Linked DNA regions of Mus musculus. The protein of the gene in region 3 purifies or fractionates together with the protein of the main gene of each other region. This does not show direct contact. Links are inferred from orthologs where the notes say so. Each region holds a gene or a part of one and is shown on either strand. Other genes may lie near its edges. The genes, in order: Larp7, Nap1l4 and Ncl.

What was found.
Region 1: the proteins of Ncl (region 3) and Larp7 purify together in Homo sapiens (affinity purification with mass spectrometry; 4 studies listed by BioGRID and IntAct, with this or other methods). This does not show direct contact. The link is inferred for Mus musculus from reciprocal best matches to the Homo sapiens genes NCL and LARP7.
Region 2: the proteins of Ncl (region 3) and Nap1l4 fractionate together in Homo sapiens (co-fractionation; 3 studies listed by BioGRID). This does not show direct contact. The link is inferred for Mus musculus from reciprocal best matches to the Homo sapiens genes NCL and NAP1L4.

Annotation. Positions count from the first base shown.
Region 1 is NC_000069.6:127,550,486-127,554,234, forward strand, and holds the start of Larp7 (la-related protein 7), read right to left. Parts: upstream 2,865-3,749; 5' UTR 2,698-2,864; intron 1-2,697. UniProt on the Homo sapiens protein: RNA-binding protein that specifically binds distinct small nuclear RNA (snRNAs) and regulates their processing and function.
Region 2 is NC_000073.6:143,546,575-143,550,323, forward strand, and holds the start of Nap1l4 (nucleosome assembly protein 1-like 4), read right to left. Parts: upstream 2,547-3,749; 5' UTR 2,468-2,546; exon of another isoform or gene 2,453-2,467; intron 2,373-2,452; exon of another isoform or gene 2,163-2,372; intron 1-2,162. UniProt on the Homo sapiens protein: Acts as a histone chaperone in nucleosome assembly.
Region 3 is NC_000067.6:86,352,870-86,356,518, forward strand, and holds part of Ncl (nucleolin), read right to left. Parts: intron 3,589-3,649; coding exon 3,502-3,588; intron 3,459-3,501; exon of another isoform or gene 3,391-3,458; intron 3,325-3,390; coding exon 3,183-3,324; intron 2,276-3,182; coding exon 2,151-2,275; intron 987-2,150; coding exon 863-986; intron 412-862; coding exon 257-411; intron 1-256. UniProt on the Homo sapiens protein: Nucleolin is the major nucleolar protein of growing eukaryotic cells. It is found associated with intranucleolar chromatin and pre-ribosomal particles. It induces chromatin decondensation by binding to histone H1.

The DNA.
Region 1 (3,749 bases), on a different chromosome or scaffold from region 3:
GTATACATGCATACATTCATACATACACACATATATTCCGGTATACACGCATACATTCATACACACACACACACACACACACACACACACACACACACACACACGTATATTCCGGTATACACACATACATTCATACATACACATGTATATTACATAAGTTTAAAAAAAGACTCGCAGGCTGGAGAGATGGCTCATCAGTTAAGAGCACTGACTGCTCTTCCACAGGTCCTGAGTTCAATTCCCAGCAACTGCATGCTGGCTCACAACCATCTGTAATGGGATCTGATGCCCTCTTCTGGTATGTCTGAAGACAGCTACACTGTACTCATAAACAAAATAAATCTTAAAAACAAAAACCAGCCAGGTGTGGTGGAGCATGCCTTTAATCCCAGCACTCAGGAAGCAGAGGCAGGTGGATTTCTGAGTTCGAGGCCAGCCTGGTCTACAAACTGAGTTCCAGGATAGCCAGGGCTATACAGAGAAACCCTGTCTTGCCCCTACCCCCCCCCCCAAAAAAACAAAAAAAAAACCCCAAAAAACAAAACAAACAAACAAACAAAAAAAAACAAAACAAAACCAAAACCCAAAGGGGGAAAAGCTGCCATGGAAAACATGATGCCATGTTATTTTTACCAATCTTTCACTAAATCCTATCAATTTCATCTTTGAAATGGCTCTTACCCCCATTTAATGTTTTCTCCATCTGCTATTAGAATATGAGTTTATAATTGCACTAGAAGTCACCTATCCTTTACAGAAGTTTGTGTCACCTGTCCATAATACTCATATGGTTTATGATGGTTATATTTTATATTTTTGGGAGTGAGCCTAGCTTTTCATGGCTGAGCTATCTTTCTAGTCTGTGAAGGTTATTTCTAAACTTGAAACATTAGTGATTCTGATAAGTTTTTCTTTTTTCTTTTTTTTTGTAGTGTCATAAATATACTGCTAAATGAATGTGGTGATACACAACTTTAATACCAGTACTTGGGAGGTAGAGGCAGGTGGATCTCTGAGTTTGAGGCTGGCCTGCTCTGCAGAATTTCTGGACAGCCAGAGCTACATAAAAAATCCTGCCTCCAAACAATCAAACAAACAAACAAACAAACAACATCCACCCACAAAACTCACAGTCTTGGAACAAAGAAATTACTGTGAAGCAATGCCAGATATTTATATAGATAGATAGTTTTAAATCTTGACAATCCTACTTGGTCGTTTCTTTCCCCTTTTCAAAGGGAGGCTGAAAGGTTATGTAATTCAGTCAAAACTAGGTAGGTAAGCAAACCGAGGTGTTTGACTCTTACACTGTCTACCGTTTAGTAGAAGCTACACTCTGTCAGCATTCACACTATATTCTGACCCAGGAATTTCTTTTTTGGGGGGTGGTGGGTGGTGGTTTCAAGACAGGGTTTCTCTGTATAGCCTGGCTGTTCTGGAATTTACTCTGTAGATCGGGCTGGTCTCGAACTCAGAAATCCACCTGCCTTTGCCAACTCCCAAATGCTGGGATTAAAGGTGTGCGTCACCACTGCCTGGGCTGTCCCAGGAATTCTTCATCTGACCTCCCTGACACTTCTGGGAGTTTAAAGACATCTTAGGAATCCATGAGATGTTATAAGACAAACTTTTAAACAAAAGGTAAAATCATGCTTATACAAATATAAAGGAATATGGTAAATTTAAGTGGAACTAGTCTGTTTAAAGGAGAAAAGACCAGATCAATATGCAGCATAAAGTCAAAATGAATGTTAACATATACTGGTCAGGGGCAATGATTGGGCAAACATGGTTTTCATCTTTATGTTTTCAACAAGTTACAAAGTTGCAACACTGCCCAAAGACAGTGAATGTCACAGATAATCTGGAAGTAAGCTGTGCTAGATGTAAAGCAAAAGACCATTTTTTTTTTTTTAAATTTTAAATCAAAGGTTTTGTTTGTAAAATCACATACAAAATGTTTCCACAGGTACATGTAAAATTTTCAAAGGAACTCGACAATAATATTTTCCAGGCTTTAAACAAAAAGAAGAGTACCCAAAAGATTGAGAACCAAAGTTGTAGTCACGGCAAACCCTTTAGCGGTCTGGAACTTTGCTCCAAATAATCTTTTAGTGTGAATGTTTTATGAAGTCATTCGGTTTCCCACCACCGCCCGGCTTCGAAAGACTACTAAAAGGCAGTCTTACTTCTTGAGGATTTCCATTCTCAATGAACTCTCCACTCATATTTCTCCTTAATTTCTCATAAACGCACTCAGAACTTAAATTCATTACTGTTAGCCCCTTCTACAACGGCTTTTTCTATAGAGGGACTAGCAAAAAGAAAAGACTGAACTTTAGAATGCAAGTTCTCACAACTGATGTCCTTTGGGAAGACAACCTGCCTAACACCCACAGTTCCTCTGAGCAACCCTACTTCCGCACAGACTCCCCCCCCCCCCCCCCCCCGCAGCCGGGCGTGCCCCAAACACCCCAACCCCAAGCTCGGCCCGCCCCCTCTGTACTGAGCTCCGAATAGCAGGGGCCGCCAGGGAACTGCGCGTGCGCACAACGCACGGCGCCAAACCAACGGCACAGTGGCGACGGGGGCGGGGTGAGGCGGACCGCGGATGGAGGGTGGCCCTCAGGAGACCCGACTGAGAGGAGTTCCCACCTCTACGGGTCTGAGAGGCTCTGCAGGCCAGTAGTGACTTACTCCGTGCTCGTCCCCAGATCCACGGTCAGCGCTTGTGTTCTCCCACGCTTTCCTTCTCCCGACCCCTGCGGTCGGCGGAAATTTGCGTCATTCGAGTAGCGACGCGCTTCTCTCAGCCCGCTACGGAAAGACGGGTCCGAGGCCCAGGGTTCGTTGCTGACGTCATAGGCGGAGCATCTCGGGGGCGGGAGCCACGCGGTGACTGCGCTGGCACGCGGAGTTCCATTGGTGGTTTGCGAACGGCGGCGGGCGGGGCCTCCGCGGTACCGTCCCTGCTTGATGACGTCACTTAAGTTGGCGGGAGAAATTAGAAAGTGGAGTTTATGTCATTGAGCCGGTGAAGTGGAGACTTTTCTCTCCCGTGTTCTAGGCAAGAAGGGTGGACAGACCGGGCGACTTGGCGCGGTTGGGAGAGCACTGGACACTGACTCGCCTCCACGGAAGCGACCCACGAGGCGCCGTTAGAGTGCCGGGTGAGGCGGTCACCATAGCGGCCCATCCCGGTTGTGGGTGTTTTAGGGGCTGACATAGGACCAAGGGGGCCATTATTATTTAGTGATACAAAACCTTGAAGTGTCAAGGCTTGGCAAGTGAAGCTATGTTTCTTTTAGGGATCTGTACTGTTCCTTGTGGTTTAGCAGGCCGTTCGTGGTTTGGAAACTTTCCTGGTTTGAGCGGTGCTGTTCTGAGCTATTGTGACAGTTTTTCATCACTGCAGAGGGCCAGATAGAAACTGTTGTTGGGCTCCAGAGCTGGACTTCCTAACGTAATAGATCAAGAATAGGACCTAAAAGAATAGGACCTAAAATGTTCATTGCTAACTAATTGTCAGGTCATGTCCCTGGAACCACTTGAAGATATGTGTGCTTATGTGTGCTGCTTTTGCATCTGTATTCAGTTCACCATCGACGATTTCAAGATTTCAAAATTTGACCTTATAGTTAACATGGTAGTTACAGTGGCTGCTGCAGCACTGTCCAAGAGATTTTTCTTCCTGGGTGTGGTGGCATATTGCTTGTAATATCCCAGCTATTTCCAGAGGCTAGGACGGG
Region 2 (3,749 bases), on a different chromosome or scaffold from region 3:
GTCCCTGCTATTTCCCTAGTACCTTCCTCTACTTTGGCAATAGGTGCAGCAAGATGAAGATGACATCAGCTTCAATTCTAAATGCCTAAATGCACTTCATCTTTCTTGCAGTAGCGCTGGCTGGCCTTGAGCTTCCTGCTTCTACCTTTTAAGAGCTGGAATACAGATACAAGCCAACACACCCACTTACATTTCCTTTTAAGTAAACAAAAAAACCTTGTACTCACGGGCTAGAAGTCCCCAACAGCTCATTACTACTGCCTCTTTTTCAAAACAGGTCACCTGGGGCTGGATGCAAGCAGCAAAGAACTCACTGATGTGCCTATTTCACACTGAGAGTTGCCCTTAGACCTTCAGATTTAAACTACCCTTTCTTAAATTTCTAACTTATTTATGTGTATGGGTGGTTTCCCTGCTTGTCTGTGCACTACTTGCAGAGGCCAGAAGAGGCTGTTGGAACCCTGGGACTTAAGTTATAGACTATTAGAAGCCACCTTATGAGTATGGGACTCAAACCTAGGTCCTCTGCAAAAGCACACAATGATCTTAACCACCCCTAAATTAACTCTCTTGTCTAGGATTTTTTTTCTTCCAAAAACCAAAATTTTAGGTACTGGCAGTTAAATTTTTATACAAATACAACATAAACTTTTATACACAACATAAAGACAGCTAGCAGGGACAGTATACTTTCACTAACAAGAGGCAAACAGGAAAAAAAAAGTGAGATAGGATCTTGCTGTTTTTCCAAGACAGATTTTAAACAGTTCCAGAGCAGTTGGGAATCTAGGTGTATACTGCCATATCTATCTTAGCTGGGGCATTTTAAGACTCAAGTACAAAGTCAGACCAAAGTGGTGAACTACCTCATTTCTAAGAATACCACCCCTGCAGGAGATTTATTGCCCACTGGTATATTCTATATACTCAACTACACAAAGCCAAATGGCCAGCTCACAAGCCATGATTTCTGAGAAGATCCCAAAATACATACATTTTCCCCCAGAACTTTGGTAATACAATTCCAGAATTTTCAAAAAACGATAAAATCACTATTATTTTCACCAGCTATTCTATATTAACTGTGAAAAACAGTTCGGGATTTAAAGCTAAAACATCAAAATGTGTTTAAATGTTATGACACTGTGAACCAATATTGGTCAACTAAGGGGGGGGGTTGAGACCGACAACTGAGTTTTACAGCATCTACTTTAGTTAAAATGATACAGCTGTAGACTACCCGACAGGTGAACTATACTCTAGTCCTATCAAAGCCCTGCTTTCTCTGAATCTTACTGTTCATCTGAATATTTGTTTCAATACGTTATTTATTTAATAATAAACATTTATTATTAAAACTGAGCCAGATTAAATCTATTTGAATTTAGATGCAAGGTACCATCACACTTAACCTATCAGGGACTTAATTTGCAATACAGGTCGAATACTCCTATACCAAAAAAAAAAAAAAAAAAAGAAGAAGAAGAAAAGAAATCAGAACGTCCCAAAACCCACTTCTTTTCGAGCACATTTTGGATTTCCAGATTAGGTACGCTCATCTGTCAGACCTACAAATATTCCACAAACCGAACCACTTCAAAACCCAGGCGTTTCTTGCTAATGCACAGTCAGCCTGTTGCACCTACATCACGTACTATTGTGAATGAGTTAAGACACGTCAGGAGCTTAAAGGAGCCCCTGGTGTGTAGTAAGCGGAGATTAGTCACCGAGAGGAAGCAACTACTATGACAGGAAGGCGGCAGTAACTTAAAAGCATTTAACTTTTGGACCAAAAACTTAAACTTGAGTCTTTTTGCTGTGGAATATGCATATGCTCGTTACCGCAGCGCACGCGCCGGAAGCTACCGCGGAAATTCCTCCAAGAGGCAGCGAAGCAGAGTTGGAGGAAGTGCGGGCCAACTTGCCCCAAGGATACCCTCGGAAGAAGGGGTACTGCTGACGACCCTGAACCCGTTAGGGGCGCCCGGGTCTGAAGGCTCAGTGTGTGTCACTAGGCTGGCTCCGCCTCCACCGCAGGCTCAGAGAGTGAGGTCTGGCTCAGAGACCGGGGCACTGTGCGGAGAGCATGCAAAGCCCGGAAGGGCGAGGCGGCGGCCCAGTAGACCCCTTCCTTCCCAGGCGCGGTCTGAGACGAGGCGTACCCAGGCCCACCTCGCTGGGGAGGCCTTGTCCTCTCAAGGAACCGCCTGCGCCGCTTCGCGTGGGTTCTCGGGCGGCGGGAACAAAGCGCGCTGACCTTCAGCCGGGGGCGGGGCTGCACGGAGGAGGGACCGGCCCGCCATCCGCCGCCACCCGCCACCCGGACCTCTGACCCGGTCGCCGCCCGCCTCTGCTCGCCGCCATGGCGCGTCGGCCTGCCCGCGCCGCCCACTCCTCCCCGTCTCCGCCTCCTCCGCCCCAGTCCCTCGCCAGCCGCCCGCCGCGCCGTTACCCGCCAGCACCGCACCTCGCGCCTCCTGCGGCAGTGGCGCCTGTCCTAAGCTCGCTCCGGGGCTGCACCGCCGTGGTCGCCAACAAAACCACCTGCCATTGGCCGTATCGCCGGGCTCCACCCTCTGCGAGCAAAACGGGCGACGAATGGACAATAGAGCTGTTTATCAACTGCACCAGGCACTAGGAAAGGCGGTATCCAATCAAAATCTGTTGAGGGAGCACGGCGTCCAGCCTAAGCCCGCGAGCTATATGTAGTTAGAGTAGTGACGTGTGTTCCGGCGCACGCGCAGTTCGTGCTTCTTTAAAGGGGCTGCTGGGCGCGCGTGTAGGACTTTGGGCTTGTTACAACCTCTAGGGTTTGAGCTTCCTGGACCACATCGGCAACGCTCTTTCCAGATTACTTACAACTCCCTGCCTTCCCCCGGCCTGGGAAAAGCACCGCCTACTTCTCAAGGCCTTCTGACCCTCTGTCTACAGTGCCTGCCTGGCATGGGACTACCCTTCTGATAGAAAAGTTCAGCACATCTGTACTGGCTGGTTTTGTGTGTCAATTTGATACAAACTAGAGTTATCTGAAAGGAGGGAGCTTTGAGAAAATGCCTCCATAGGATCCAACTGTAAGGCATTTTCTCAATGATTGGTGGGAGAGGACCCAGCCCATTGTGGGTAGTACCACCCCTGGGCTTATTGGTGGTGTCTGTAAGAAAGCAAGCTGCACAAGCCAGTAAGCAGCACCCCTCCATGGCCTGTGCATCAGCTTCTGCCTCCAGGTTCCAGCCCTGCTTGAGTTCCTATCCTGACTTCCTTCAGTAATGAACAGCAATATAGACGTGTAAGCCAAATAAACCCTTTCCTCCCTAACTTGCTTTTTGGTCATGGTGTTTTCATTGAAGCAATAGACAACATCTGATAAGAATAAATAACTTGCTTGCAGATAATGTGTGTTTTCCTAACAAATTCTACGAACAGGGCAGTTGGAAACAAAGCTGGGTATGGTGCAACATGCATGCCTTCAATCCCAGTACTTCTGAGATAAGAGATACAGGTGACAGAATGAGCAGTTTGTCACTTCCAACTATGTAGCCAGTGTGGGGCCAGTCTGAGCAACATGCAACCCTGTCTGAAAAACAAAAACTTAAAATGAAGTGTGGTTACTGAAGGCCAGAAGGTCTACAGCATTGTTTTTCTGTATTACTTCTCTTTCATTCTTAAATTGGAACTATGTATAAACAGTTTCGCTTACAAAATTAAGGAAAGTAAATAAGCTCGTATGTTTTTACTTACATTTTTTTCTG
Region 3 (3,649 bases):
AATTAGATAACTGTTCTTTGTTGTCTTACACTATTTTCTAAAATAGTTTAAGCCATTTAAAGTAGAAAACATACCCAACAAAAAGCTTTATTTGCCTACTATACTCCAAAGGAAATGATTTCAAATAGCTTTCACTCATGAAGACTAAACATCAGCTATATGAACAAAGGTGAACTAATTGTAGGTAACCAATTACTTAAAATACAAAGATACAAATGATTCCTGTTCCCACTACACAATAAACCCTTTAACTTACCACTCCAAGTGCTGGTCTTTCCAGTTCTCTCTTGCCTTTGACCTTTCTCTCCAGTATAGTAGAGTGAAACAGATCGTCCATCAATTTCTGCCCCCTGCTTTTCTTCCAAATTTTTCTCTGCATCAGCTTCAGACTTAAATTCAATATAAGCAATCCTGAAAGAGTACAAGACAATTCAGTTACTACGTTAGAGAAAATATTACTCAAGCATCAGTCATGAAGGACTTAGTCACATGTGCTTTTACTGTTCTTTTACTATGTATTAGCTCATCTTCATCCTTTAAACTGGTGAGGAGGAAAAAGAGCCAACACAATAGACTGAACTGCCTAGAATCACATTTCTCTCATAAAATAGGGAAGGATAGTACTTGTGGCAAAAGATGCCAATTTGGATTGAGCCTGTAAAATTGATCACAGCTTCAAAACCCATCAGTTGAGCATTTTTAATGTCAGAACTTGGGAGGTAGAGGCCAGAGGACCAGATATTCAATTTTCTGGTTATGAAGTTAAGTTTGAAGCAGCAGACTAGAGACTGTCAAGGACAAGGAGAGGGGAAGAAGACACTAAACTTAATAAAACTTTAACACTCAAAGACACAAAACATACCCTTTACTTTTCCCATCCTGGCTGACTAATCTGATCTCCATGGCGTCTTCAAACACTTCCTTTAATTCATCCTCAGTGATGTTGAAAGAGAGGTTTTTGGCTAGAAGTGTTCTTGCAGCTCGAACTATGTTGGAAAAAGATTTAATTAAGTACATCAATTTACAAGTCACAAGAGAATAAAGCAAATAATTCCTATAAAGTACAAGGATATATGCTAAAAAAAAAAAATGGTATAAAGGGATGGAGAGGTGGCTCAATGGTTACTAACCATTTGCATGAAGAGTACCCATGTTCAATTGTCACCTGATGACTCACAAACCCCTGTCCAGTTTCAGATGAGGCTCTCCTGGCTTCCCTGGACACCAGACTTATCTCCTTCCTACTTGTTTACATGTATATCATGTTCCTTAGACCATATGTATTAAGTTGTATATGGAACAAGTCTATTTAGACTTAGTTTCCATCTCTAAGATACCTCATCACTCATATGGTTCATTCTACATCAAAAGCCTAGATCCAGTAAGCATATAACATAGACTGCAGATTGAGCACACAGCAACCTTGTAAAATGAGCAAAAGGGGACAGAGGATATGTAGCAGTTTTAAGAGTGATTGCCTAGCAGGGCAGTGGTGACTCACGCCTTTAATCCCAGCACTTGGGAGGCAGGCAGATTTCTGAGTTCAAGGCTAGCTTGGTCTCCAGGACAGCCAGGGCTACACAGAAAAACCCTGTCTTGAGAAAAAAACAAACAAAAAAACCCAACAAATTTGCCTAGCATGTGAAAAGCCCACGTTCAATTTTCAGCACAACTAAGAAACAAACACTTAAAATCCAAATTCTGAAACTCAAAATATAGGGATCAAGAATTCATTTAAGAGATACGTAAGCTTCAAGCATGTCACGATACACATGTGGTCAGAGGATAAGCTAAAACTTTTTTTCCGAGACAGGGTTTCTCTGTGTAGCCCTGGATGTCCTGGAACTCACTCTGTAGACCAGGCTGGCCTCGAACTCTGAAATCTGCCTGCCTCTGTCTCCCAAATGCTGGGATTAAAGGTTCTTCTCTCTTCATGTGGCTTCTAGAGATCAAACATTTTGCAGCAAGCATCTTTACTCACTAAGCTATTCCTCCTGTCAGCCCTGACATTATATATCCCAGGAATCAAACCTGTCAACAAGCACATGACCTATGACATCTCATTGGTTCACAATGAGGATGAAACTAAGGAAGAGGCACCAGACTGCCTAAGTCTGTTAGTATCCAGTCACCCAGACCCCCTTACATACCTTTCTTACTATCTCTTCCTTTTGGTTTTTCTAGTTTAATTTCATTGCCAAACACTTTTAAACCAGTGAGCTCCAAGGCCTTTTCTAGGTCTTCAGCAGACTCAAAGTCCACATAACCAAATTTCCTTGAAGATGGAAAAAACAAGATTACAGGTATGAGAAGGTGATCTGCACTTATACCATGTGGCACACACACAGAGCATCTACAGCACTAACAAAAATAAAACTAGATCACCCTTATCTTCCATAAAACCAAGTCCAAAGGCTGGAGAGATGGCTCAGCGGGTAAGCACATTGACTGCTCTTCTGAAGGTCCTGAGTTCAAATCCCAGCAACCACATGGTGGCTCACCACCACCCATAATGAGACCTAATGCCCTCTTCTGATGCATCTTAAGTCAGCTACAGTGTACTTATGTATAACAACAAATAAATCTTTGGGCCAGAGCAAGCAAGGACTGAGAGCAGAGCGAGCTGAGATCCTAAAAATTCAATTCCCAACAACCACATGAAGGCTCAAAACCATCTGGACAGCTACAGTGTGCTCATATACATAAACAAATCTTAAAGAAAAAAAAACAAAAAACAAAACAAGTCCATGTACCAAGACATTACAACAAATTCACCTCGATTTCTTCATTCAGTATATTGTAACTAACAGCAGTAGCTAGCATGGACCCCGCTAAAAGTACAGAGAATACTTTTAGCTAAAAGCATATGACTATGCAGATCCATAGTTGTAGATACTGCACAAAATTTTATGTGTTTAATATCTTTTCTTCTTTAAATTTTATTTTATCTTTATCAAGTCAAACACAGGAACTTCAAATTGCAGGCCCTATGACTCGATGATTTAGTTCAATACTATAGTCTTTCTTACTGCAGCTCCTTAACTGTACTTAAGGCCACGAGAGGAGACAACTGACTTTTACTAACATAGTTAGATATAGCCCCATGTTTAAAGGCAGGGAAGAATACAACTGGAAAGTAAAAATTCTAGCTGATACACATGTAACATTCAATTAAAACTTACCTATTTGTACCAGTTCTGACATCCACAACAGCAAGATCATTTTTAGCAAAAAGTTCACTGATGGCAAATTTTAATTCATTAACAGACTTGTTTGGATTAAGGTTTCCAATGAACAGATTGAAAGGTGTAGTTGGTTCTGAGCCTGCACACACAAAAAATGAACTTTCAGCCCACTTAAGCACACAACAAATTTCATCATAAACTATAAAGCACATCAGCATATTTCATTTCAACCCCATGGTTCAGTATTAAGTCCCTTTGTCACTCATCACTTGTGCTAGTGCTACTCTGATCTGTTTCCCCAGTTTTGCAGGCTTACCTTCTACTTTCTGTTTCTTGGCTTCAGGGGCTTCTTTCTGCTTGGTCATCTCCTTCTTCCGTTTTCCAGGTGCTGCTTTAACAGGTTCTAGATGTTTTAAAATGCCATTCATGAGTAAGCAGACACTTTAGCATAGCCAGTAAGCCTT